Linked DNA regions of Sus scrofa. The protein of the gene in region 1 interacts with the protein of each later gene in a pairwise test. Links are inferred from orthologs where the notes say so. Each region holds a gene or a part of one and is shown in the gene's direction. Other genes may lie near its edges.

Region 1 (4,087 bases):
TACTTCCATATTTTGGAATCTGTACCACCTGTAATGTACGTAATTTACCCATCTCCCTTAATCCATGTAAAAGCATGCAAGGCTGGCAGTACTGTTCTGATTTTACAGTTGAGTAGGTGGTGAAAGCTGGGTTTGAATCCCAGTGTAGATGACTCCGGAACTCTTCCATTTTTACTGTCGTGACTGACTTACTGAGAAATGTGTCCATAGATTAATGGTTTTCAGACAGTGTTGTAAGCTTCAATACAGGTCCTTTGGAAGTTGGAGGAAAAAAACTTTTTAGTTTGAGGAATTTGTCATCCTTTTTACTTGTTTTACAAATTTGGACTCTGTCTTCATACTGTTTGGAAAGAGTTTTTCTGCCTAAAACATTTAAAAGTCTTCTACTTTAGAAACCCAACACCTAGCTAGAGTGAATATGTATTAAAAAATAAAGACATTGGTAATAATAATTTAGATTTGTCCGTGGACAGATTATATTTTCAGTTATGTTTCAGTTCCTAATGATGTTTTGTCTAATATCAAAATGAGACTGAGGTGACTGAATACTATTAATAGGATGGGGAAGTGATTTGAATTAAAATTTTATGCTGAAAATGGACAATCTACAATTTACACAGGGTTCACTCTCCACTACAAGCTCTTGCTCCCTTTAAAGGCTGCCCTAAGCGTGATGTAATGACAGGTTAAACCTCTGAATGCTGGAGCTGACGCAATGAGAATCTGAGGCCCAGGACTTTATTGGGACAAGGGTAATGCTTGTTTAAAAACAAAACAAGCTATTTTGTTTAATGAGGGCGTTTAAGATGGCTTTCCCAGAGTGGGAAGAGAATAAAATCTCAATTTGGACGTTGAAGTAGAAGTTTAATATGGTTATGTGTTTACGACTCTCACTGCGACGGCTTCTCGAATCGAGAAAGGAAGTTTGAAATAAGGTGCTGACGGCGGTAAAAATGGAGAAGTGAGTTAGAATTGAGGAAATAAGGTAGTTGACATCTGATAAATAGTTAATGAAGTAGACAAATGCTTTTGCTATATAAAAATCCGGAGTTTGCACGGTTAACTGGCAGAGTATAGAGCAGAGAAGAGTGCTTGTCTGGCCACGTATTTTCCATATATTCTATGTAGCGCTATGAAACCACCCCAAATTGCGATATCCGACTGTTTGGGCCTACTGAAACGGAGTGTTTCCACCTCACGTAAGCCGGTGGAAAAGCTGAGGCGTGCGGTATGTCTCCGGGGATCGCGAGGTTCTGCGGAGCTGGGTAGCTGTGTGGGAGTTGCGCGCTGCATGCTCGGGATTCTTGCCAGAGCCGTGCAGGAGCGACTGCGAGCCCTGGAGCCGCCCTAGGCCGAGTGGGGCGGAGCTTGCAGCCCCGCCTCCATGCGCCGGCCCGCCCCTCTCCTGCCGCGGCAGCCACCGCCCTGAGTGCTTTGAGCCTTCGGCCGGCTGGCAATCTGCGTTGGAGCAGGCTCTCCCAGCGGCAGCCCGGCCCAGGCCTCCAAATGGCTCTCCCCGCGGGCCGGACCCTGCAGCGGTAGCTCCAGAGCTGGGACTGAGAGCTGCACCGCTTCGTCCAGTCGCTGCTGCGCACTCTCCAGCCCTGTCCTTCACCGAGCTGGCCAGAGCCTAGCCGATGAATTTGGGAAGACAAACTTGGGAGACAGACGAAGGTTTAGGGCCCAGCAGAGGACAGCTCAGCAATGGCTCCCATTTTTGGAGACGCAGGCGAATTTGAGCTCATGGGGAGGTGTGGTCGACTCCTCTCGGGGCGGGAGGGTGCTTCATTTCTCTGCCGCTGTAGCCGGTGCTTCTGAGGAGTGAATGGAGTGTATGGGGCATGGCACGTGCCTTCCTGTCTTGAAAAGTTGACCCTGGACAAATTTAGGAACGGAAGGTGTCCAGTAGGGCCCTCTGTTACAAATAGTCTCTATTCGTGGGGGAAAGGCTATGAGCTGCCTGGCTTCTCATGACCGGGAAGTCTCCCTTACCTTTTCTGTACTCCTGGAGGGGCGTCTTGCTCACTTGTTTACCAGCATCCGGGACAAGGAAGAGAAAAGGTATTACTGTTAAGAGACTGGGTTGCTTAAATTGTGAATTGGGCAAGTTGTTATAAGCTGGTGGAATTTGAATGGATCAGGGAATGGCTGCAGCGTAATTGAGCTGGAGATGTTTCTTTTGAGCAGCTCTACTTTTCTCAGTTTAAAACAAACTTCAGGTTATGCAATGACTCCTCCAGGGTTGTCCAGACACTTGAATCCTTGATTCCTACTGCAGGTCTGCTGTGTTCTTAGGATTCCTTTTCTGTTTGAAGATGGAGCTGGGTTCCATCTTCTGAGCTTTGGGAGGTTTTAGCAGCTGCTGTCCTGTAATACTTTCATTCATAAGAATTACAAGCTACATTTTGCTTGCTTTTCACACTTTGAATAGGAATTTAAATCGTGCTTTTTCTACAGTGTTTGGAAAAATAATAAATATGTGTTATATCATAAGTCTGAACTATTGATGATAAATGTGTAACTATTTTCCTAGGTCAAGAAATTAAACAGTAATGCTTTGCTTGCTTAGTAGTTATATTATGTTGAATACAAACTGAGTTTACTGCCTCCTGACGCGATTTGTTGTTTTGGCGTAGTGAATTGAAAGGCATTGGTGGCTTAGATCATTTTGTGCTGAAGGAACCACTTCCCAGTTACTACGTTGCTCTCTTAAAATAAGCAGCATAAAATGGACTATGAAGTAAGCATACAGCACACATACAGGGCATTTTGGTAATGCTAAGCCCATTGTTCTGCTAGTGACCTAAAATAAAATGCATAGATCATCATATGCACAAAAAAATCTCCTGGGGAAAACTGGATTACAGGAGAGTTCCTTTATATTGGTCTAGAACACCTGGGTTACACAGGGCTTCAGATGGTAAGAATTGATTCCTGTTGTCTTAAATCCTTGTGATGGGCCACATTATGATAGAATCCTGTGGTACTTTTGTTTCTCCTTGAACTTTAGTCCTTTAGTGACAGTGATCTTTCCGATAGAATAATTACAGTTAGGGAAAATATGAAATCTGAAGAGTTAAATTTTAGTTTGATAGAAATATGGCTTAGGGTTCTTGGGAATATACTCTTAAGGACGTCCGTAGACTGATCTTTTGTCATCCCCAAGAAAATGGCCTACCGTATCCCAGCAAAGGTAGATTCCTGGGAAAAGCTGCTAGTTTATCTTTCATTCACCCTGACACATAGTTAACATTGTTGATCATTTCTTCCAGATGGCATTTATTTCATAAATAGTGTTTATTGGTGTGCTGATGAATGCTTCAGCAACACTGGTGAACTTTAGGGTACGAGGCATTCTTTACCTGTTGACTCTATCCCTCACCTCCACTGTTGTGTGAGTCTCTCTGGTGCTTTTGATCTTTATTTTCTTGACTCTCCTTCACCTTTGCAAATTATACTGGTTTATATTGTAGAATGGAAGTAGAATGATTTACTGTGTCTAAATACTGGACTCAGAACTTTTATGAGAGGATGGCCCTCCATTTCTCTTCTACTTTCTCACTTTTGAAGGGGGCATGGATCAGTAGGAAACAAGATTAATTCCTAGCTGGTGTTAACTTTCCATGAAGATGGATGATGAAGAGGAGGTGGATGGTGGGATGGCAGCAGACCCTTCCCCTTGTCGCCCCTTTCATTCCCCAAATTACTCCTAGAGCAGGTAACCGTTCATCATTAGGAGGAATTAATCAAAGTCAGTACCCTGGTGATCCTTTGGATCACATGTAACTCCCTGGAGCACATGTAACAGCTGACTCAGAATGAGTAGGGGAGGTGGGGGAGAAAGTCCAGTCAAAACTGATTTTATTGCACTTAAGCTCCTTCTTGTTTATGGTCCAGTTTCTATTTTAGCATTTATTCCACGTAGTCCATCCAAGTATGATTTTTAACATTTTTTTTTTTTATTTTTTTTTATTTTTTTGTCTTTTTGTCTGTTGTTGTTGTTGTTGCTATTTCTTGGGCCGCTCCCGCGGCATATGGAGGTTCCCAGGCCAGGGGTTGAATCGGAGCTGTAGCCACCGGCCTACAC
Region 2 (4,263 bases), on another chromosome or scaffold:
TTACTCTGTCTTTTAGCTTCTCATTCCTGCTAGCTCTCCATTTTTAGGAAAATTAGGAACATAGTGACTTGGGGATCAAAATGAACTTTATAGGCTTTGTGGATGAAAACTAATGCCCTTCTTAGGTCATTTCCTGGACAAATAAAATCTGTCTGGAAATCTTTAGGACTCCTTTTATGATTTGTAAATACGTATATGTGGTTGCTAGTGAAAGCAAAAAATATAGAGGATCCTTTGCCCAACCCTCAAAGAGTGGCCTCTTGGGGTTTTTGTTTGGGCCAAAGATATCAAAGGGTTAATTTACTAACAGGAAGAGAGGTTTGGGAGGTGGTAGCTCAGTACTTCCTACTCTTCAAGACATTTCAGTGCCCCTTAATACTCCAGATACTAAATGTTGTGCTGGACATTTTGTCAGTTTGCAAAGATCGCACAAAAATGGACGTAATTTGAAAATTATGCAAGCTGTGTGACTTGCTACAGACTAACTTGCGCTTAAAATGGAGGACACATAATTACAAGCCACCACAAGAAGTGAATGAAGCTAAACTTCTGAAAAGCTGTGTCTCTAATGATCATAGAACATTCCTTTTCTGTCTAACGTTCTTCTAGCAAACTTTGGTTCTGAGGTTTTTTGTCCTGTGAGGCAGATGCAGAGGGTTTTGTAGGGGTTTTGGTCGAAAAAGAAAGAAAAGCTTTCCTGCCCACAGCAGCTGGTTGAGATTAGGACAGTTTCCTGAAGAGAAAGGAGGAAGAAATACCTAAGAAGACAGAATACACCTGAGAGAGAAAAGGAAATGCTGTCAAAATTTCCCTTGTCCTCTCCTGGTAAGATCAGAAGCATCAGAATTTAGGCAAAGAACAAAAGAATGCCTAGAAATGATCAGGAAGCAAAAACTTAGCTGGAAATCTCTCCTTTGTGTATATTCTCCAACCCATTCATCCCATCCTGCATTTGTTTTTTCCATCTCCTTCAAGTCTGCATGGACATTGGAGCAGTTTTTGTGCTCATCCTGATTGTCCATTTTCTAAACCTTTTCTGGTTGTCTGTGCAAGTGTGTGTGTGTGGAATCTTCCTAGGTCAAAGTACTTGGAACCAGAGGTATCAGCACTCCATCCAAACCCAGACCCTTCCTATCACTGTTTGTTTTATCATATGGAAATCACCCTCAATTTTTCTGCTTTCCTTACAAAGCCTAGTTTTCTTCTGCCTCATGTTTCAGAGAAAGGGGTTTTTAACTTTGGGTTCATAAACTCCCCAGAATTATTGTGTGTGCATTCATTTTTCTGGTGAGAGGGACTACAGTGGGTTGCAAATTTTTGTTAGCTTCTCATGGAAGTCTGTGACCTAAAGATTAAGAATTACTGGTCTGAGAATATGGTTCCAGCTATTTCCTCATTCCCAAGCCAGGTTAGGAACCCCTTGGCAAATAGAAGTGTCTCCCCTAATTATCTCCTTCCCCCAGGATGTGGGGGCTCAAGGTTGTACTACTGCTGCCTGTGATGAGCTCTGCTCTATACCCTGAGGAGATACTGGATACCCAGTGGGAGCTATGGAAGAAGACCTACAGGAAGCAGTATAACAGCAAGGTGCCTGGGAACCTGGAGGGGAACATGGTGGGAGGGCTGGAACCTGAGACCTCCAATCCTAGGTTCCAGACTCCCTTCCTCAACCCAATACCTTAATTACCTCAAGCAAATCTGCCCCTGTTCCCTGACTATTAACATACACTTTTCTCTTTTTGGCCACACCTGTGGCATGTGGAAGTCCTGTGGGCCAGGGATTGAAACTGTATCATGGCAGTGACAATGCTGGATCCTTAACCACTAGGCCACCAGGGAACTCCTTAACATATACTTTCCATTCCTAATCCTCTATTCACCCTCCATCAAGTCTTACCCTTCCTTTTCTTTATAACTGCCTTATATTTCTCTTTCGGGAAGGCTTCTCAGATTAATGCGATTAATCCGTAAGCAGTTTTTTTTTTTTTCTATACATCTCTCTAGAGGTTTGTATCCTATTATTTGCATTTGTTTACGTATTTCTCTTTGTATGCTCTCAATCCCATGATTATTTCCCCAACTAGATTGTAAACTTCTGTGATTTTAAATTTAATCTCTTCTCCTAAAAACCTGCATGGTATTAGGTATGTAACTTTCTACACAGGATACAGTCTATGCCAATACTGACAATGCTCTGTGTAGGTGGATGAAATCTCTCGGCGTTTAATTTGGGAAAAAAACCTGAAGCATATTTCCATCCATAATCTTGAGGCCTCTCTTGGGGTTCATACGTATGAACTGGCCATGAACCACTTGGGCGATATGGTGAGTTGAGCCTCAGCTCCTGGTCTATCTGCCCTGTTTGCCTTGGTTCCTTTCTTATGCCTGGCTTCTTTCTTCTTTGTACCAGACCAGTGAAGAAGTGGTTCAGAAGATGACTGGACTCAAAGTACCCCCCTCTCATTCCCGCAGTAATGACACCCTTTATATCCCAGACTGGGAAGGCAGAACCCCAGACTCTATTGATTATCGGAAGAAAGGATATGTTACTCCTGTCAAAAACCAGGTACCCTCTTTTTTCTTGGGTGTGAGTATATAAGCTGGCATGACTGCTTCCTTTTTCTGTTTCTTTATCTTAAGGTAGGAGGACACCAGGAGAGAGGGCAAAGAATTAATTTACCTCTTCCCCTGCTAAGAGAATAAATAAAGCCTATTCTGTTATTTAACTCATCAGCATTTTTTTTTTTTTTGGCTGTCCTGTGACATGTGGAGGTCCCTGGCCAGAGATCAGACCTGACCTGAGCCGCAGCTGCAGCAATGCCAGATCCTTAACCTACTGTGCCTGGCCTGGGATTGAACCTGCATCCCAGGGTTCCCAAGATGCCACAGATCCTGTTGCTCCACAGCAGGAACACCTCATCACCTATTTTTGTACATTTAAGTTATTTCTGGTTTGTCTATTTTTATAAGTGGTATTGCTGTAAGCACCTGTGTGCATATATTTTGTACATATATACAAATATTTATGCAAAATAAATCCTAAAATTGGAATCAATAGGTCAGAGGGAATCATCCCAAAAAAGTTTTTACAATCTTACATTCTTACCAGCGTGAGAATGTCAGTTTTCCCACAACCTTAACTATGCTGATTACATCAACCAGATGAACCGCTGATTTAGCATTTATTCAACAAACTCATTTTTTTTTCAGAACCTACCAGATATAGTTCTAGGCAACAGAGCTTCAAGATGACTAAGAATATAACCAGTGTCCTCAAGAAATCCCCAACCTTAAAAAATAGAAAGGACAGGAAAGAAAGAAAAATGGATAATCTAGCTGAGCAAACACTAATAACAATAGCTAGCACTTTTTGAGAGACTATTATTATTATACGTAGTAGTTCATCCTTTATATGAATTAATTTTTTAATCCTTATAATCCCATTAAGTATATTGTTATTATCCACAATTTACACATAAGGAGAGTGAGGTACAGAGATGTTTAGTAATTTACTCAAGGTCATATTCTATTGCACAGGCAATGCAGATGGCCCCCACCTTCTGATGGTTCACCTTATGATTTTTTTGTCTTCATGATGGTGTGAAAGTGATAGGCATTCCACAGAAACTGTACTTCAAGTTTTGAATTTTGAACATTTCCCAGGCTAGTGATAAGTGGTATGATGTCATCTCTTAATGCTGGGCTGTGGCAGTGAGCCACCACTCCCAGTGAGTCACGTGATCCTGAGGGTAAACGACCAGTACCCTTACAGTCATTCTGCTTCTCACTTTCAGTACAGTATTCAGTAGATGACATGACATAGTCAACATGTTATTATAAAACAGTCCTTATGTTAGATGATTTTGCCCACCTTTAGGCTACCCTAAGTGTTCTGAGTATGTTTAAAGTAGGCTAGGCTCAGCTATAATGTTCAGTATATTAGAGGTATTAAATGCATTTTCAAATTACTATGTTTTCAATTTATAATGGATTTATTGGAGGAAGATCTGTATTCTCTTCTGCTTTAGTACAGCTAATGGGAACAATAGTGACAACAATAGAACAATAGAACAATGCAATAAATGCTAAATGAAGGGAAATAGGAATACTTCATAGCAAAGGGGACAGGTGCTAGAATTTATAAAATGTATAGAATTTCATAGGACAGGTAGAAGGAATAAACAAAGTATGACAACAATGACTGATAATTTCTCTGCTATGTCTCTCAGGGTCAGTGTGGTTCCTGTTGGGCTTTTAGCTCTG
Region 3 (3,500 bases), on another chromosome or scaffold:
TGAGAGCATTCACAGTGTGGCTCCGGAGAATGAGGGGAAGCTGGTGCACATCATTGGGGCCTTGCGGACATCCAAGGTAAGCTTGGCGGTGGCTGCTGACTGTGGAGAGGGTCTGGTTGAGGATTTGAAATCATGGGCCTTGGAGACGGACGGACACACTTAGTGTGACTCAGTGCACCACTTGGCAGCCTTCTAGACCCATCTTTCCTGCATCTCATTGTCCTCCTGGTAAGATGAGGAAATAATTGTAACAAGCTGGGGGCTGGTTCTAAAGCTGGGCCGGATTCGGTAGCTAACCTCCTGACACAGTCTCTGACTGTGCCATGACCGTCACAAGAGGTGCTTTAACAATGGTGATGGGTTTGTGTCTGGTACAGGGTCTACTGTCCGAACCCTGACACCCTCTCTGGGCACTGCACCCTCGCACCTGTTGCCTGAGCTGTGCATGAGGCTCGTCACAGGCTTGCGTGTTCGGCACTGGGGTGTACAGCTCCCTGCGGCTCCCCTCAGTGCTCAGCTGTGGGTTCTCCGTGCTCCCCTGCCCCCTGATGTTTCTCCCCCAGCCCAGCTCTCCCTGAGCCAGCTATTCTGGCCTGGTATGAGTCTTGCCCTATATTTTTCTTGGTTTGTTTCTTTTTGAAGCTCTTGTCTGATCCAAACTATGGGGTCCACCTTCCGGCTGTGAAGCTGCGGCGCCACGTGGAAATGTACCAGTGGGTGGAAACTGAGGAGTCCAGGTGAGAGCTAGGGTGGAGAGTCAGCTGGGGTGGGGGAGGCACGGGGGTCCAGGTGACATGCAGATGGCTTTCATCTTGACACTTCAGAAATTTAGGTTATAAACTCTTCCTCTGGGAGTTCCCATTGTGGCTCAGTGATTAACAAACCCAACTAGCCTCCCTGAGGACTCAGGTTCGATCCCTGGCTTTGCTCAGTGGGTTAAGGATCTGGCATTGCTGTAAGCTGTGGTGTAGGTTGCAGATGTGGCTCGGATCCTTTGTTGCTGTGGCTGTGGTGTAAGCTGGCAGCTGTAGCTCCAATTTGATCCCTAGCCTGGGAACTTCCATATGCCGCAGTTGCGGCCCTAAAAGACCAAATAAATAAATAAATTAATTAATTAAAAATAAATAAATAAACTCTTCCTCTGGGAGAAATGTTAAGTTGCCCCCAATTCTAACTTGATGGCCTTGTTTGGAGGCACAGGAATCTCCTGCAGAGTGATTTGGAGGAGAAGGCTATTACTCCTAGGGCCGTTGCTGCTCTGGCTGAGGACAGAGCTCTCTCGAATGCTGGCCCATCTTCTCTCCCATGGGGGTATGGCTGGGGGTGGCCTCCTGAGTTACATCCTGTCAGTTCTAATAGGACTCTCAGACAGGCTCTCATTGGCCACACTCTGAGTGAAGGTGGCTGGGGGAGCCTGAGTGGCTCAGCCTGGGGAAGGACAGCCTTGGGGCTCCTACAGGGCTGTCCCAGAGCAGAAGATGAGGGCAGGTCACTGTTCCCATGGGCAGGGCTGGGACCCCAGTGTGAACTGGAGAGGCTGGTTTCAGCGCAGGGAGGCCTTCAAGGGCTGGAGCTGGTGGCTGCTCCACATGGGGAATCTGGCCAGGGAGCTCCGAGGTTGCTTCTGAGGTGCTTAGAGATGGGAGCTGCTCGGAAAGCTGGGCTGACTCAGGGCTGCCGTCTTCCCCTGCAGGGAGCACACCGAGGATGGGCAGGTGAAGACAGAGACGAGGTACTCCTACAGTGAGTACGGGGCCCCAAGCCACCCTGCACCCCTGTGCTCTGTCCCCCTGCTAGCGGGCCTCCAGAGCCCTGCTCTCCCATCTGTCCAGCGAGGCCCTGGGCGCTGCCCCTTTGGACCTCGGGTGGTCACAGACTTGGCTAAGAGGCCGGGGCCAGTGGGCCTCACTCCTGTGTGCACTTTTCCATGGTTTCTGCGTCCCCTCTCTCCACAACAGACACCGAATGGAGGTCAGAAATCATCAACAGCAGAAACTTTGACCGAGAGATTGGCCACAAAAACCCCAGGTGAGGGATGAGTCCCAGGCCTTAGCGTAGCCTCACTGGCCACTGACAGGTTCTCAGCCTCAGCTTTCTCATCTGAGTAATGGGACTGGATTACTTTTGTCTCATGAGCCAAGGAAAATGTGAGACTGGATCTGAGGCCAGCTCCTGTGCTGGTTGCCAGGAACACAGGGGCAAGACTCCCCTGGGCCCCAGCAACCACTCCTCAAATAGGTCACGGGCATAAGGCTGACCTCAGTGCCTGGGGCGGGGGTCAGTGGCAGTGAGGTGGGAGGACAGTCAGCCTGGACTTTCAGGGGGCAGCAGCATTTGAGCTGGCCCTTTGGGGGGGCCCCACATAGGAAGGTTAGCTGGCGGTGGGGGTGGGCTAGCTAACTCAGGCTGGCAGTGCCGCCATGAGCTGGGCTCTGCTTTGAATGTGCGCTGTGGGGTTTGGATGCTGGCAGGGCTGAGAAGGGTCAGTGAGGGTGTGAAGTCCATAGATGGGCCATCAGATGGCAGTAGAACAGGCTCCTAGGGGTCCAGGCAGGAGGGTATGAAGCCCTGGGGGCCAGGAGGCAAGAGAGGGGTCTGCCGGGGCGGAGAGTGCAGGAGGGAAAGGTAAGACGTATGGTGTTGGGCTGGGCTGGACTTGGGGGAGTACCGTGGGTGGGGGGCCCTTCACCCACAACTCCCCCTCTCTCCCACAGTGCAATGGCTGTGGAGTCATTCACCGCAACTGCCCCCTTCGTCCAGATCGGCAGGTTTTTCCTCTCGGCAGGTGAATCTTGGGCCCCTTCAGACGAGCTAGCACTGCCCCAGAGCCCCACACTTCCACTCGGCCACTTCCGAGGAGCCGGGGCCCCAGCACTCAGCCCTCAGAAGCTAACGGGGTCCCCTTGCCCTGGGCATGGGGTCAGCCAGCACTTACCCAGCATCGTGCTTCTGGCAGAGGCCAGAGGGAAAGTGTGTCCCCTGGAGGTTGGGACCCATGAGAATACCGCTACTTGGGCCAGGTTTCCCTGAAACCTGCTCCAGGGGAGCAGCTGCCATGCACCGTGTGCTCGTGGGGCTGATCAGACAGAGCCGAGGGCTCTTTCTCAGGCTTCCGTGGAGCTGGCAGTGGGGACAAGGCCGGGGCTTCATCTCTGAGCCCTGCCCGCATCCAGCCCTGGAATTGACTCCAGAGAGAGGCCTGCAAGGGACAGGGTTGCACCACTGGCCATAGAAACTCCTGGGGCTCTGTCCCTGGGCCTGACCCAGGAAGGAGGGGGAGAGGAAACTGAGGGCGCAGAAAGCTAGGCCGAGGGAGGAAAGGGTGGGTGAGCCAGGCCTGGACATGGGTGGTGGGGTCGCCAGGTGGAGTGGCTGCCGGGCTAGCCCTTCCAGAACTGCGGTCACTCTCACTGATGGGGAGAGGGGGCAGGGAGGCTTCCTGCAGGAGATGGAGACTGACACAGGGCTGGCAGTGCAGTAGGATGGTGCTGGAGGAGGGA
Region 4 (3,460 bases), about 20 Mb from region 1:
GGGTGTGCCAGCTTCCTGTTGCTGCTGTAACAGACGACCACAGACCAAGAGGCTTAAACAGTGCAGTTTACCACCCGACCGTTGTGGAGGTCACACGTCCACCAGGGGCCTCACCGGGCTAAAATGAAGGGGTGGGGAAGGAGGGCTGGTCCTGGGGTGGGGGGCGGGGAGGGAGGAAGCCGCGTTCCCTGCCGTTTCCAGCGTCCAGAGGCGCCTGCCCTCCTTGGGGGGGGGGGGGCTCCTCCATCCTGGCCATCCCTTCTGACTCCGCCCTTCTCTCCTGCCGTCGAGGACCCTGCGGTGACACTGAGCCGCCCAGGTCCTGCAGGACAGTCTCCCCTTCTCAGGGCCCTGCCGAGTCCCCTTGGCTGTATTCAGGCACAACTTCTGGGGCTTGCGATGTCAGTGACCGTGGGGCGCTGTTCTGCTCCCGCACAGGCGTTGGAGGCTTGTTTCGAGGATTCACGTGTTGGATGAGACAGTGGGCCACATCCTCAGAAACCCCCAGCACAGGGCCCCGCCCACAGTGGTCCCCATCAGAGGGAGAACGTGTTACCCACCGCTCCTCTTCCCATCCCCCACGCCTGCAGACGCTCCAGGGGACCTAGATGCCGTGCCACACTGGGCCGTGTGGGCACGTGCTCCCGGTGTGGTGAAAACCGCTCTCAAGCACAGAGCGGGGGGGGGGAGGCCCCCCGCAGCTTTGCAGGCTCTGGGGTCAGGTTCCTGTTGGGCCAGTTGCTTCACTTCTCTAAGCCACCTCTGAATGCCCCCTGGAGTGGGACACCTGGCCCTCCCTGGCGGGGCCGCCTAGGCTCCAACACAGTGACCCCCGCACGTGCACACACACCCCCCCGCCCCCGCCTGCCTTCTGACTCCCGCCCTCCTGCGCAGGTGTGGCCGGCGGCCTGACCAACCTCTCCAAGATGCCCGCCTGCAACATCATGCTGCTCGGCGCCCAGCGCAAGACGCTGTCCGGCTTCTCGTCCACCTCGGTGCTGCCACACACCGGCTACATCTACCACAGCGACATCGTGCAGTCCCTGCCCCCGGTGAGCCCCCAGCCCCACCGCACCTGCCATGCCCCACAGGGCAGCTCCCCAGGGCCCGCGGCTCCCCTGTGACCCCGGTGCATGGAACCCTAGAGGATGCCCCACATGGGTTAAGGATGCCACAGCTGATGCGCCAGTTTGGGATGCTGGCCGCGCCACTTCGCAGCTGGGCCAGAGGCCTGAGTGCTGAGCCTTGGCCTCCCTGTCTGGAAGCTGGGGGAGTGAACCTGCTTCAGGGGCCGCGACGTGGACTCAGTCATACGAGAAACACTCTGAGGGCAGGCCTCACACATCAAAAGTGATGGAAGCGTGAGATCGGGGTTCCCAAGGCCATGGTCAGGTTCAGTGACCCCCAGAAGGGCTTGCAGAGCTCACCTCGAGCTGATCCAGGTTCATCACGTCGTGGGAACCCAGACGAACACCAGCCAGGGAGAAGCGTGAGGGCAGGGTCTGGAAGCACCAAACAGGCACCACATGAGACAGGACACAGTCGCCACCAGGACGCCCAGCGGGGCCTCAGGCCTCCGTCTCTACCTGGCTCAGGCAGAGATGGGGTTGCCTGGTGAGAGACCCCACCCTGAAACACAGGGCTGCACGCTAGCTTAGCCAGGGCCCCCACCAGGACGCCCAGGAGCCAGGGCCAAGGCCAGGCCTCTTCGGGCAGGGTTCAGTTCTCCGCTGCGCTGGCTAACTGGGTTCAGTTCTCCTATCGTTGCTAACTGGGACTTGGGGGCTCATGTATCATCTTGGTATTTCTCAGAGCTCCAGCCCCTGCCTTTCAGGTACACTGATGGATTTTTTAAAAATATTTTAAAATACATTTTGGCTGCTCCTGCAGCATGCTGAAGTTCCTGGGCCAGGGATCAAACCCATGCCACAGCAGCTGCCCCAGGATTCTTAACCCACTGCACCACAGCGGCTACACTGGGTCCTGAACCCACTGCACCACAAGGCAACTCTTATTTGATTTTATTCATTTATTTATTTTAATTGTAACATGTTTTCTCAGTATTTCATCGTCTTGCCTCTGTGTTAATGCATCTCTGTTGTCTGGGGAGATGGGAAGGTGGGTGAGAGGAGACACCGACCGCAACATTTTGCTATTGTTACACGTTATTCCAGTAACGACAGCAGTGAAGACAAAAGCTGGTGTGGGAAACGGAGCCCATGGCGGCAGGAGTTCTGGAAACGGCTGTGATCTGATTGTATCTTCACGCTGACTCTGCCTCTCTGTCGTTGCTCCAGGATCTCCGGCGGAAAGCGGCCCGGCTGGTGGCCGCCAAGTGCACGCTGGCAGCGCGCGTGGACAGTTTCCACGAGAGTACGGAGGGGAAGGTGAGGGGCAGCCGGCATCTGTCTGCATGTCTGCGGTCTGGTGGGGGTGGGGGGAGCTGTGATCAGAGGACCCCCACCCCCACCCCGTCTGCGCTGTCCTGACGGTGGAGGTGGGAGTGTTTGTGCCCCCCCACCCCCAGGTCCACTTCCCCTGCCCCTGCTGTACCAGTTTCCCGTCACTGCTCAGCCTAGTGGCCTAAAGCGTTGCAGGGCTACTGACTTAAAGTTCCCTGGGTCCGGAGCCCGTGGTGGTTCACTGGGCCGAGGTCACGGTGTCGGCAGAATTGTGTCCTCGGAGGGTCGCTCCGCCGCCTTTTCCAGCTTCCACAGGCCACCTGCGCCCCTCGGCTCGTGGCACTTGCCTCCCTCTCCGAAGCCAGTGCGGCACCTTCCCGCCTCTGCCTGACTCTGCATCTGTCTTCACGCCTCCGACTCCTTTGAGGTCCCAGGGATTACACTGGGCCCCTGGGATCCCCCAGGATCGGACCATCTAGGGCACCTCCCCATTTCAGGATCCTTAACTTAATCACATGGCCGCTCATAAAATCAAATAAGAGTTCCCTTGTGGTGCAGTGGGTTAAGGATCCTGGGGTGGCTGCTGTGGCTGGGGTTTGATCCCTGGCCCGGGCGAGGTGACGGTTCATAAGGACCAGAGAGTGGCTCACAGACACCTTTGGGGGTGGGGGAGGCTTGCTTGGCCTACGACATGGGGGTCCGTGCCCTCCACCAGCACTGTCACCCTTCAGTACCCATTCCAGCAACCTCGCCTCCTTGGCACACTTGTTCTGCGAGGGTAGGTGTTTCTGTCTTGTGCACCTTCGTCTCCCAGGCTCCCGGCCTGGCACAGCGTTGAGGGATCTGGTCTCGCTCTCTCTGACCCCCGGTCTGGATGCCGGGGTCCAGCAGTGCACCCGCAGACAGAAGCCCTGCCCCGCGACGTTTCCATTCCCGTTGGAGGCGGGGCAAGGAGACGCAGGCCGATCTGCTGTGTGTCCAGTGGTGCTGAGCAGAGGCTGGGGAGGTTGGACTGACTAACCACATGTCAGGGAGGGCTTCTCCAAGGAGGTGAGGGT
Region 5 (4,111 bases), on another chromosome or scaffold:
TTCTCTTCCCACCCAGAACCCAGTCCTCCTCGAATATGCACCTGGCCCCACCTCCTTCATCCTTTCTTAAGGTTCTTCTAGCTTTGCTTTCTCTTTCCCCATGACATCACTAGGTTTGTCATTCCCCCAACTTCTTACCTTCCCCATCCCTTTGTCAACACCAGTCACCCCCAAACTCTTCACTCTCCTCCAGAAATCCCGTTCTCCTGTATATGTCTCCATCTTTTCAATATCTTCCCCTCCTTATGACCCCCAAACTTCCAGCCCCTTTGCACGATTGCCTCCCAAACCTTTCCTGCTACGCTAGGTGTCTGCCAGACACTATCACCCCAAGCTTCTTTCACCTCCCCTGTCACACATCTCATTGTCCCCAGGAAGCTCTGTCTCGCCCCAACCTAACCCCATTACCCCATCTCTGCTACATACCCACAACCTCCCCCCTTGCCTCTGCCACACAGCCCTGGGCCCCCAAACTTCTCCAGCCTCCCCCATCTCTGCCCCTACAACCCACGGCTCCTCCTACCCAGCCCGCTCCCGCGCCAGGCCCGCGGGCTCCCCGCATTCCGCCACGGCGAACCCCTCCCCGCGCCCCGGCCCCCTCGGCCTCGGTCTTGGCCAACTCGCGCGGCGCCTCCCCCTTTCCGATCCCCCTCTCCGCCCCTCCTCGCCGCTCGCCTCGCGCTCCCTCCCTCGCGGCTCCCTCCCTGCCCCTCTCTCCTCCGTTCCTCCGCGCTCCCTCCTTCTCCCTCTTCCTCCCTTCTCCCATCCCCCTCTCCCAGGCTCCCTCCCTTCGCCGTCCGCTTTCCTGTGCGAGTCGCCGGACGCGCCGCCCAGCCCGCCCGCCCGCAGCCCCGCGTCGGGCCGGGGCCTCGGGCCGGGACCCGTTTCAGGGGGACCGCCGGCCTCAGGGAGGAGCCAGGAGGGGGCGAGGGAGAAGACCGCCCGGGAAGGGGCGGGGGCCGCGGGCGGAGGCCGCCTAGGGGGCCGGGGATCGCGCAAGTGCGGGCTGCGCGGGGCGGGCGCGGGCGGCTGGCGGGAGGCAGCGGGTCGGAGCCGCGCGGAGGGCCGGCCTGGCCGCGGGGGCGGACGGGCGGCGCGGCCCGGACGTTCTGGGCAGCCGGGGTAGGCGGCGGGCCTGGGGAGGGGCAGAACTAGAGCGGGGACTGGGATTTGCTTCGGGGGCCGGCGGGCGATCGGGGCCAGGTGGGGGAAGAGGGAAGATGGGGGCCGCCCTCCGGGGGGGTCGGGGCCGCCGCCGCCGCCGTCGCGGCGGCGACTGAAGCCGGAAAGAGAGGGGGGCGGGGGAGCGGCCGCCGCCGCCCCCAGAGGCGCCGGAGCCCCAAATCCCGTTCGGAGCCAGCCAGCCGTCCCGAGCTACAAACAGGTAAGATCTGCTGCCGCCCGGGCCTTGCGCTCGCCCGGGTTCTGGCCCGCGGCTCCCCACCCCCACCCCTCCCAGTTCCCCCTCCTGCCGCCGCCGCCGCCGCCGCCTCCATTTGTTATTTTTCCCCGATCTGGTCCCCTACTGCGGGCCCTGGCTGGCCTGAGACTGGGGGCTCAGGGGGTGGGGCCGGCCCCGGAGGAGGGATGGGGGCCTGGACGCCCGGAGGATCAGGAAGGTGGGGGGAGGTGGGAGAGTCACAGGAGGAGGGCTGGTGGGGCGGGAGTGTGGCCAGAATCCCGGGACCTAAAGAGGAACCCCCGAGGTGGAGGGTTGGCGCAGGAAAACCGGGATGCCCGTCAGGGGGGCCTCGGGGCGAAGGCAAAAAGGAATGGAGAGATGGCAACGAGGTGGGGCAGGAGGACTCCAGGAAAAGCCTCAAAGGCCCAGAACCCGGTTTCAGATCCTGGGGTTCGGGGTGCTAGGTATAGAAGGGAGGTGGGAAATGGGGAAGGGGTGTGGTAGGTGGAAAGAGAGGGATTGTAGCTGATGAGGGAGGAGAATGGAACTGAGGGGGGCTCAGAGATGGCCGAGGAGAGGGCCACCCTTGAAAAGAAGGGGAGGTGCTCCCGAGTGGAAGTGGGAAGGCGATGCCTTTGTGACTCAATTTTCTTTCCTCTACTCCAGGTCACCTCTGACCTTGTTTTTGCAATCCCAGACATAGGTGCTTCTTGGAGAGGGGCACGCTAGGGCCTGGTAGTGTGGGTCCTCCCGCAACTGATGAGGAAGATGCGAACACTGAAGGGAGAGTTTAGGGAGGAAGGGTTTCCGGGAGGGTGGAAAAAGAGGGGAGCATTTGGGCAATCTTACAGGCACACCAAACAAGTCGTGACCCCCACCCTCAAACCCCCAGAACACCCCTGCGCCTCTAGCTGTGGTTTCCTTAAGCGGTGGGTGGATCTTCATTAGTGTTTTGTGCTCCGAGATTTCCCTTTGTGCGTAGACTTTTTTTCTGCCGGGGTAGGTACTCTTAAGCTCCCTTCCCTGAGGGTGCTGTAGGAGGACAGGAGTTGCTTTGGCAACTGGAGGGGGAGTGACTGGTAGATGGACCCCTGGGACAGACTCTTGAGGGGCAAGTTCTGCCTCTTCGTTGCCATGGCAGTGACCCAGTGGGATGTCCAATAGATGGGGGTTCTGCATCTCCACTGGGCCTTTCAGCCTCTGGCTATGTCCTTGGGACGCTCGGCTGGATTCTGAAGGATGTTTCGGGTGCTGCTGGTGGAGAGGAGTTTCCCCAAGGGTCCACCGTGTCCACCCAGCAGTCTTTGGAACAGGTAGACATGTTACTTGCAGGTGGTAGTTGTTTCTCCAGGTCCCTCCCCTTAGGCATGGTGGGAGGATGGGAATGCTCCTGTTCCAAGTTATACCATCTTTTGGCAGTTCTTGCTGGCCTCTATCTCCCTTGTTATTAGGAAGTTTTTGGATGGTCTTGTTGCTTCTTTGCACAGATATTCTTCCATTTTCTTCACCTTGAGTCTTCCTGCCCAAGTATCCCTTTTCCTCTGTCCCAGACTCTTCCCCACAGTAACGCCTTCGCTCATCTGACCTCCAACCTTCCGTTTCTCTGAACTTGTAGGGATGGCTGGGCTCTCCACGCGCCTCCCAGGTGAGGGTCCCCCAGGGGAGAGGGCTGTAAAACAGCCTGGTGCAGTGGAAATATTCCAGAACAGGAGCCTGGAGACCTGGGTCTAGTCCTGGCTGTACCTACTAACTGTGACCTTGGGCAAGTCACTTCCCTTTGAGCCTTGGCTTCATTGTCCGATGAAGGGGTTGTAGATAAGATGATATCTGAGGCCCCGCTGACAACTGTAGATTCTAAGGCTTAGGCCAATGCCTTGTTATCTGCTGGCCTGGGCTACATTGTTATCTAGGAGTTACTTTGGACTGGTTTGTTAGTCTGGCAGGTTTGGAATGATGGTGGGGGCTGGGCCAGTGGTCTTGAAATTTACCCTGCAAGCCCATCCTGGAAATCCTTGTGCCTTGGATATAATGCAGTCTTTCTGATATCTTCCTCATATTGCTCCCTTAATTTCTTTTCCTGTTCTTACTTTGAGACTATTTCCCTATCTTTGGTGCCTAGGCTTAGTGTTTTGCAGATACATAGTAGGTGCTTTATAAATCAGAGAAGGAATCTGAGCTACTCTTAGCGCAGCTTGTTGGTGCTGAAATATGCTCCAGGTTCAGGAAGGTCCGTGCAACCCAACCCTACCTCTTTCTCGCTCCTGCCACTCCTTATCCCCAGGGTCACCTACCTTTTATGAGTGCTTTTCTCCTTCAGAGCTCCTCATTGCTAATTTTATCAGATTCCAGCTGATTAAAAAAGTTAGGGTGGGGGCGGGGGCACACCAGGCTTTCTCTGTTCTTCAAGAACATTTTGCTGCTTTCCTCTGGCCTTTTGGATCCCATAACTCTCACCGACAGTGAACAAGTTCTGGGATAGGAAGGAGGGATGAGCACCTGCCTTTAGACGAGCTGGCAGAGACACATGAGGCACAGTTTTTTCTGTTGTACTTTTGTTGGGATTATTTTCCCCTTTGGTTATGTTGGGTTTTGTTCTTTAGGGTTTTGGAGGGTTGACGATATTTGAAAACCAATGTACCGAACAGCTCAATACTGTGGTAAATAGTTGTAGTGGAAGAGAAATGACCTGTTTACGGGGCTCTAAGTTCA
Region 6 (3,500 bases), on another chromosome or scaffold:
AGGGGTATAAATGTTTAAGTCACTCTGGCCTCTTGGTCATAAATAAATGAGATAGTGTTGATTAGTGGCCCTTTTAGTAATCAAGAATCAAAGAAACTTAAAAAGATAATTGTCCTATAACTAAAATGAAGAGGAGTTCCTGACGTGGCTCAGTGGTTAACGAATCTGACGAGGAACTATGAGGTTGTAGGTTCAATCCCTGGCCTCGCTCAGTGGGTTCAGGATCCAGCGTTGCTGTGGCTGTGGTGTAGGCCGGCGGCTATAGCGCCAATTAGACCCCTAGCCTGGGAACCTCCATATGCCACAAGTGTGGCCCTAGAAAAGACAAAAATAAAAAATAAATAAAATGGAGAAAATGAGGGAGTTTCCTATGGCTCAATGGGATAGAAATCCAGTATTGGTCACTGCAGTGACTTAGATCACTGCTGTGAAACAGGTTTGATCCCTGAACTGGGAACTTCCACATGCTGCCACATGCCAAATAAGTAAAATTAAGAAAATGAAAGTCTCTTCCTATAAAACTTTGTGGCATGTATAGTAGGGTTTCCCTGGAACTACCCCTTCTAGAGTAATGTGCCCCGTAGCCCTAGGATTTGTAGTCCCAATCATCATGACTTAAAGTCCTCTTAAAACACTCCCGATCACTTTAAAGTTATAATAATGATTCAGAAGTCTTTATGTTAGTGAAAGCATGGATCTGCCTACCTAGAAATGACAGTTAATATTTATGAACTGTTACCTGTATGCCAGGCACTACGATAAGCAGTTTCCACATTCGATCAACATTTAATCCCCGCAGAGTTTTCATCTCCACATTATAGATGAGAAGATTGAATCTTATGGAACATAGGCATCTTTCTCCTGGTCGTAGAGGTAAAGTGGTTGAGCCTGAATTTGAACTAATTAAGTCTGTGTGACTTCAACTATATGTTTGTTAGCCTTTCCAAGTAAGAGCTTGGTGCTGGTTTGGTACTGGTACTGGTCTGTAGCTAAATGCTATTAGGTTTGAGCACTTACCTTCCTGTTTCTAGACATTGCTTGACTAAGGTGCGTCTGCACGTCCTTTTTTTCTTCCTTGCATTTAGGCACTGATGAACATGGCAGTGGAAACGCAGAAACGACAGTTAAGTCTCCTCATATCTCCAACTGCAGCGTAGCCAGTGATTATTTAGGTGAGTTTTTTGTATTAATAATATTTATTTTTTCCATCTTTTTCTAGCTTTTACTTACATTCTTGAAACTGTAACTAGAACCAAGGTCTTTAAATTGTGAAGGTTCTTGTCACCTCTTCTCCTTCGTCTCTTTCTGTTTCAGTTTTCCCCTCTTTCACTGCAGACCCAGCTTCTTCCCTGGTGAAGGGTCGTGACTGCCCTTGGATTCTAGTTGACGGCACTTGAACACTGAAGAAAGGGCCTACATCTTCCCAGCTCCAGTTTGAAAATTCTTGGGAAAGACTCTGTCAGTTTGGGTCTTGGACTTAGGCTTAACTCACACTGGTGCCAGGAGACTAATGAATTATTGGCCTGGATTGGGCTGTGTGATCTATTGCTAGAAGCACAGGAAGGACGAAGTGGGGCAGATACAAGCAGCAGGTGCAATAGAAGTCCACTCCACAGTTCTTTCATGGTACCTGGCACAAAAAGTTTTGTTGACTTGTGTGTCCTGCAGATCTGGATAAGATCACCGAGGAAGGTGATTCTCGAGGTGCTCGAGGGAGGAGAAAGGCAGCATCCCAAGCCACGGTCCAGCAGAGGAAGATCCTCCTGGACGGCCGTGACGGCAACGGTGACGGCGACAGTGACTCCGAACCAGACTTTGCAACAGGTGAGTTATGTCCTAACTCTGCATTAACCCCATGGAGAGTCAGTAAAAAGACCATTGATGTATGCAAAACACTGCTAAACGTTTGGTGTGCACAGACTGTGTGCACACTCAGGACTGTTAAATTCAGCTGTGGCATTTGGGGGAAGCTGTATCTGGAGGTGACCTTTAAGCCATGCCTTGAAAAATGAGTAGCATTGGGGTGAAATAGCACTTCTGACGGATAGAAGGGTATAAACAACAGAATGGACAAGCGCACGTACAAGAACTCGGTGATGCTGGGGATTCCTCAAAAAATTAAAAATAGAACTACCTGATGATCCGGCAGTTCCACTCCTGGGTATTTATCCAAAGAAAATAGAAACTGATTGGAAAAGATATGTGCACGCCCTATGTTCATTGCAGCATTGTTCACAATAACCAAGGTATGGAAGCAACCTGAGGGCCTGGCAGCAGATGGATGGATAAAGAAGATGTGGTGCATATGTATGTATTTAATGCACACACACACACCCAGTGGAATACTACTCAGCCAAAGAGAAGAATGAATTCTTGCCACTTGCAACAGTGTGGATGGACCTGGAGGGCATTTTATTAAGTGAAGTAAGTCAGACAGAGAAAGACAAATACTGTGTGATTTCACTTAGATGTGATTTCACTTAGGTGTGGAATCTAAAAATAAAGCAAATCAAACAGAACAGATACAGTCATAAATACAGAGAACAAACATGGTTGCCAGAGAGGAAAGAAATAGTTGAGGGAGTTGAGATGGACAAACCTCTAACTGCAAAATAAATGAGTTCATGACATGAAATGTGCAGTGTGGGGAATACAGTCAGTAATTGCATAACACCCTTGTAAAGTGACATCCTGTAACTGACTTAACTGTGGTGGTCATTTTGAAACGTATAGAATTAGCGAATCACTATGTTGTGGACCAGGAACTAACATGGTGTTTCAGGTCAATTCTACTTTACAAACAAACTCACAGAAAAAGAGATCAGACTTGTGGTTACCAGAAGCAGATGTTGGAGGAGGAACTGGATGAAGGCAGTCAGGAGGACCAGGCTTACAGTTATGAGATAAACAAGTACTGGGGTGTAACATACATGATGAGTAAATTAACACTGTGCTATGTTATACATGAAAGTAAGTAAGAGAGCAAATCCTAGAGTTCTCATCACAAGGAACATTTTATTTTCTATTTCTTTGATTTTGTACCTGTATGAAATGGTCAATGTTCACTAAACCCATTGTGGTCATCATTTCGTGATGCATGTAAGTCACATCGTTATGCTGAACACCTTAAACTTACATAGTTCTGCATGTCAGTTATATCTCAATAAAACTGGAAGAAAAAAAAAAAAAAGATGTGGAAACACATGCACACATACAAGGTATCCAGTGAGGCTTGCAGGGAAGGGAGAATGTGGTAGAGGCTGCAGAGGCCCCCTGGCGCAGGTTTGTGCAGGGTCCCTGACCCATCCTAAGAGGTGTAGAATTTTTTTCCATAAGTAATGGAAATTCACGAATCATTTTGAGGTCGGAATGATGTGAAACCTGTATTTTTTTGTGATAGTTTTCAGATTCATTCAGAGATTAGGGCAAATGGGAAGCATAGTGACCTTGACAGCATCATGGTATACAAACTAAAATTAAAATGAATAAATCCATAAATT
Region 7 (4,251 bases), on another chromosome or scaffold:
AAATTGGAAGGTGAAGATGAGAGAAGGGGGAGGAAAGTTCCGGAAAATAACTAGGAAAAGACATCTTATTGTTACGTAGAGTTGCTGGAGGAATAATTTCCTCTTAGTTTGGTGATGGAAGTATGTAGTTTATTTAAACGTGACTAAAAATATATGTTAGAAAATAGACAATTTTGAGGGAGATAACAAACCATGCAGTTTTAGACTTCTTATTGCTTGCTGGCAAAGGAAAGAAGGGTAAATAGAAGAAATATGGAACAAAGAGTTAGCAGGAAGAAGTAAGGAGCAAAGTCCAGATTCTTGGTTCCACAGCAAGTCCCCAACCATAAAGTGCTGTTTAAGAGGGAAGTACATCCTCAACCTGTTCCAGTCCATCCTTGAGTATGTTTCATGACCCATGGGGTTTATGTTATAGGTGGAATTGTGAGGAGGGTACATTTAAATCTGATTTAGAAACTGAAAGGGTAATTAGGTGAGCATTTTGTTATTTATGAACAGGCAGAGTGGGCAGAAATGAAAAAGAAAAGCAAAAAGCTAATGGTGGATATATTTCTAGGAGTACAAGAGTTTTTATAGCAACACCAGATTTCTCAAAAGTGCCTACTGTGATTTGTACCCAAATGAATAAAAAATGCAATCATTTATTCTTGTACATTGTGCCATGTGAGAAAAGAACTGCAATTCATTCAATGGTCTTAATTTAGACTGCTGGGAAGAGAGGTTCAGAAAAAAAGACAAGCTTTTAAAGTATCTGACACACATCTAGTAGGGCTATTTAAGAACTGCTGAGCATAGAAAGCAAGTTACGGGGAGCTGAATTCTCCTTTTCAGAGCATCACAAGGGTAAAATGTGGCCCATATAGTCCAAACTTGCTGATGGTTGCCTGGTCCCTTGCAGGAGACATCCAGCGCTGCGTCTGAAAGCTGCAGAACTCTCAACATACCACTTCAATTCATTAACGACGTTTATAACTGCAACCAAAGTGGACTAACTTCAGTGGTGGTTCTTTGCCCTTTAGCATGGAGATGAACTTTAAGGTAACTGAGCACCTTAGGACTTCAAGCGAAGAGGAGGAAATTTTCATCTACGTGCTTTTCTTTCAAGAAGCCGCTAATGAGTCTTTAAACGCCAACTCTGATGTTGCTGTTGGTAAGTACTGCCCTCTGGGTGAGCAGGCAGTGGTAAGTTTCTCCTTACAGAGAGGAAGTTGGAGAAAGGGATGTTTACAGAGTCAATTTTACAACAAAGAGTTAACCTTTCCCCTCCGACAATAAGCGCCTGCCCCTTCCTTGCTTTCTACTGCGCAACCAAACTGCCCAAGCTCGAACCAACAGTCGCCGCCACATCCCTTGCAGGTTGATTTAATAGACACTTTCTGCAGCCTATCAGGATTTCGAACTGCCCAACCGTCAACCAATTACAACTAAAGCTGGGCTTGGGACGGTCCAGGTCCGGGAGGGGGCTAATACCGGGTCCAGGAAAAGGGGCGGTAAGGAAGCTATGACGGACGGGTAAACTAAGCCAATAAGAGCAGAGAGCTGTATCACCACTATCCAATGGAGAGGTAGGAAGTGTGAAACGGGGTGGGCCTGTTGTCATGGGGGAGGTGGTGGCGCTTGGTGGCTGCCGGCGGCCGAGGTAGAGGCAGTGGCGCTGGAGTTGGTCGAGGATAGCGGCAGGTGAGTGCCTGTAACGCGGGCCTGAAGGCTGAGGGCCATCTCCGAGCGAAAACTCCAGCTCGGTCATCCGGAGGCGGAGGCCTGCGGAAGGGGGCCTGGGCTGCAGGCCGGGTCGGGCCCGGGCCGGGGCCAGGGCGGGGGCGGTGGCCGCGAGTTCGCGCTGACTGGGCTAGTGCGAGAACCGCCCGGCTCCCGGCGGCGGAGTTCGCGCTGGCAAGGTAGGCTGGGGCCGGACTCAAGCGAGTTGGGCCGGGAGCTTCCTTGGGACGCCCAGCCAGCCGCTCGGGTCTGGGGCACTGACTGGCTGCGGGTGTGTGAGGGGTAGGTCCGTAGGGAGACGGGAGCGACTGGGCTCCTAGAGAGGGGATGGCGGGTTACGACTTGGTCCGAGGGCAGGGTGACTCGGGAATACCCAGGACAGCTTCGGAGCGAGGAAAAAGTGGAAACAGGGAATCCCGGGAGCGGCCCGAGCGGAGAAAGCCGGGGAGGGGCTCGGGGGGCCGTAGACTGGGAGTGGCTTGGGTTCGAGAGAGAAGAGAGACCGAGGGAGGTCGGGGTCCAGGGTACTGGGAGCAGCCGGGGTCGGAGAAAGGGCGTCTAGGAAAGACAGGGAGGGGGCTGAGCACCCTCCTGAGAAGGGCGGCTGTCCGAGGGAGAAGCGCTCTTGGACTGTTACGGATCTTCGGAGGGTCTGACCCATGGAGATCTTGAACAAGTTAGGAACCGGAGCGCCCTGCCCCCCACCGCTGGTCTGGGATGGAAGATCCTAGATCAGACTGGGAACTCCTGGGTCTGAGGATCCACAAGAGATCAGGGGAAAAAAAATCCTCATGGGGGTAGCTTGGGTTTGACGTCAGGGTGAGGGGTCTAGCTGAGGAGTGGAAGTTCTCTCAGCTGGAGTTAAATCAAGGAAAATGATACGGGTAGGCGGGGAAAAGTAGTTTCCTTGTAGGAAGGGAGTAGAAGATAGGGCGTAGTAGGAAGGAGCCAGAAAGTTGCCCAGGAAGCGTGGTCTTGTGGAAACTGGCCAGAACCGTAGATATGAGAAATTAACATAGGGCCCTTAATAGGTTGTAAGGACCTAAGAAATAGAAGTTTCAGCTTCACAATACTAAGATGCCATCTAGGATCAGAGAAAGTGTTTTAAGAGCAAGGTTGTGACTCGCATTCCATTGCTTTAGAAATTTGTTTTAGGACGACAGCAATAATGCTAGAAAATAAGGACGTTGGCAGGATGGGAGATTTGAATGGGAAAAGGAGTAGCCGAGATAAAGGAGTAGGACTGCGGACTTGATCAGCAAGAGGAGGGGCATGAAGAGGACAGACTTACTTATGTCAATTTAAAAATAAGTTTGAATTCTAGTTCCACCACCTAGCTTCGACAACTTAACCTCTCTCTGTGCTGAAGTTTCATCTGTATAATAGAGTTCCTACTTTTAAGGGTTGTTTTCTCATGTGAGTTAATGTTTTGTGGAACTTTTAGGCTGATGACTGGCACAGAGTAAGCACTGTGTACTGGATTATCAAATGTGTAGAAGATAAAGGAAGACCTGAATTCCTTAATGCGGTTGTTCTCAAACTTTGATTTGCACCAGAATCACCTGGAGGACTTGTTAAACAGCAGTCTGCTAGCTCTACTGATTCAGTTAGGGCTGGGTTTGGGTCTGAGAATTTGCATTTATCTCAGGTGATGCTTGTATTGGTCAGGGGACCACACTTCAAGAACCTCTTGCTTTTTTGAAAAGAGTAATAATACCAACCTTAAAATACCTGTCTGCCCTGCTAGGGATGAGTAGAAGCAACTTGCAAAAGAAAAAACCCAAAAACCTAATATAAGAGAAACCCTGTCCTAAGTCTATGTTTTTCAAACTGTAGATTATGATTCATTAGTAATTTATAAAATCAATTTAGTGGTCTTACCACCAGTTTTGAAAATGAAATTAAATAGAAAAGAATTGACTAGCATTTCACATGGTAATGGAAAATATTGTTTTGGGAAATTTAGTTCACACATGTGTACTAGATCAGAATGTAAAATGTATTTCTCATAGTCAAAAGAGATATAAAAAACTCTTTTTGCCATGCATTGGAACCCTTCAGTAGGAGCATTCAGGGACTGGGTTTATTATTTATTTTTTGTTTTGTGGTAATTCTTCTCAGGTGGTGATACATTCTATCAGGTTTCTTCAGTTTCTGATCTGGTTTCTCCTGTGTTTGCCTTATCACATATGGTGTTGTGCTTCTTTTAGATATTGAGGCTCTTTGGCGTGAGGACTAAAGGGAATTTGAGGCAGAGAAATGAAATTGAATGGTCTTTCTTGATGTGGTCCACTTTTGTTTCACTTGTGCCGTTTTGGTTACCTTTTCTTTTTTACCGCTGTACTATAAAGGACTGTTTGTAAAAAACCTAAGTATATACAGACATGTTGACAGTAAACAACTAACACTGAAACAGACTGGTTTGAGAACAGTTCATGTATAGAAAGTAGGCAAAAACCAAAAAAGACACGTTTAAAAAGAGGAAAGCAAAAGGGTGTTTCCTTTTTAGAGTAAAGGTATTTTAAAGCTTTT

What was found.
Region 2: the proteins of SIAH1 (region 1) and CTSK interact in a two-hybrid assay, tested with the Homo sapiens proteins (2 studies listed by BioGRID). The link is inferred for Sus scrofa from reciprocal best matches to the Homo sapiens genes SIAH1 and CTSK.
Region 3: the proteins of SIAH1 (region 1) and TMEM43 interact in binary tests that used the Homo sapiens proteins (3 or more experiments, as listed by UniProt). The two-hybrid records come from large-scale screens. The link is inferred for Sus scrofa from reciprocal best matches to the Homo sapiens genes SIAH1 and TMEM43.
Region 4: the proteins of SIAH1 (region 1) and PRPF31 interact in binary tests that used the Homo sapiens proteins (3 or more experiments, as listed by UniProt). The two-hybrid records come from large-scale screens. The link is inferred for Sus scrofa from reciprocal best matches to the Homo sapiens genes SIAH1 and PRPF31.
Region 5: the proteins of SIAH1 (region 1) and ATN1 interact in a two-hybrid assay, tested with the Homo sapiens proteins (2 studies listed by BioGRID and IntAct). The link is inferred for Sus scrofa from reciprocal best matches to the Homo sapiens genes SIAH1 and ATN1.
Region 6: the proteins of SIAH1 (region 1) and RAD51AP1 interact in binary tests that used the Homo sapiens proteins (3 or more experiments, as listed by UniProt). The two-hybrid records come from large-scale screens. The link is inferred for Sus scrofa from reciprocal best matches to the Homo sapiens genes SIAH1 and RAD51AP1.
Region 7: the proteins of SIAH1 (region 1) and NUMB interact in a two-hybrid assay, tested with the Homo sapiens proteins (2 studies listed by BioGRID and IntAct). The link is inferred for Sus scrofa from reciprocal best matches to the Homo sapiens genes SIAH1 and NUMB.

The regions. Positions count from the first base shown.
Region 1 is NC_010448.4:36,359,273-36,363,359, forward strand, and holds the start of SIAH1 (E3 ubiquitin-protein ligase SIAH1), read left to right. Parts: upstream 1-1,287; 5' UTR 1,288-1,970; coding exon 1,971-2,061; intron 2,062-3,570; exon of another isoform or gene 3,571-3,633; coding exon of another isoform or gene 3,634-3,718; intron 3,719-4,087. UniProt on the Homo sapiens protein: E3 ubiquitin-protein ligase that mediates ubiquitination and subsequent proteasomal degradation of target proteins.
Region 2 is NC_010446.5:98,391,563-98,395,825, forward strand, and holds the start of CTSK (cathepsin K precursor), read left to right. Parts: upstream 1-1,463; 5' UTR 1,464-1,464; coding exon 1,465-1,587; intron 1,588-2,202; coding exon 2,203-2,325; intron 2,326-2,410; coding exon 2,411-2,566; intron 2,567-4,229; coding exon 4,230-4,263. UniProt on the Homo sapiens protein: Thiol protease involved in osteoclastic bone resorption and may participate partially in the disorder of bone remodeling. Displays potent endoprotease activity against fibrinogen at acid pH. May play an important role in extracellular matrix degradation.
Region 3 is NC_010455.5:70,403,714-70,407,213, reverse strand, and holds part of TMEM43 (transmembrane protein 43), read left to right. Parts: coding exon 1-76; intron 77-642; coding exon 643-737; intron 738-1,693; coding exon 1,694-1,743; intron 1,744-1,958; coding exon 1,959-2,028; intron 2,029-2,714; coding exon 2,715-2,785; intron 2,786-3,500. UniProt on the Homo sapiens protein: May have an important role in maintaining nuclear envelope structure by organizing protein complexes at the inner nuclear membrane. Required for retaining emerin at the inner nuclear membrane.
Region 4 is NC_010448.4:55,998,048-56,001,507, reverse strand, and holds part of PRPF31 (U4/U6 small nuclear ribonucleoprotein Prp31), read left to right. Parts: intron 1-894; coding exon 895-1,052; intron 1,053-2,297; coding exon 2,298-2,387; intron 2,388-3,460. UniProt on the Homo sapiens protein: Involved in pre-mRNA splicing as component of the spliceosome. Required for the assembly of the U4/U5/U6 tri-snRNP complex, one of the building blocks of the spliceosome.
Region 5 is NC_010447.5:63,792,649-63,796,759, reverse strand, and holds the start of ATN1 (atrophin-1), read left to right. Parts: upstream 1-1,374; 5' UTR 1,375-1,384; intron 1,385-1,526; coding exon of another isoform or gene 1,527-1,687; intron 1,688-2,728; coding exon of another isoform or gene 2,729-2,771; intron 2,772-4,111. Other genes in the region: uncharacterized protein LOC110260590, read right to left, coding at 520-1,374, 1,527-1,687, 2,729-2,771. UniProt on the Homo sapiens protein: Transcriptional corepressor. Recruits NR2E1 to repress transcription. Promotes vascular smooth cell (VSMC) migration and orientation. Corepressor of MTG8 transcriptional repression.
Region 6 is NC_010447.5:65,883,711-65,887,210, reverse strand, and holds part of RAD51AP1 (RAD51-associated protein 1), read left to right. Parts: intron 1-1,085; coding exon 1,086-1,172; intron 1,173-1,668; coding exon 1,669-1,824; intron 1,825-3,500. UniProt on the Homo sapiens protein: Structure-specific DNA-binding protein involved in DNA repair by promoting RAD51-mediated homologous recombination.
Region 7 is NC_010449.5:96,795,891-96,800,141, reverse strand, and holds the start of NUMB (protein numb homolog), read left to right. Parts: upstream 1-1,451; 5' UTR 1,452-1,680; intron 1,681-4,251. UniProt on the Homo sapiens protein: Regulates clathrin-mediated receptor endocytosis. Plays a role in the process of neurogenesis.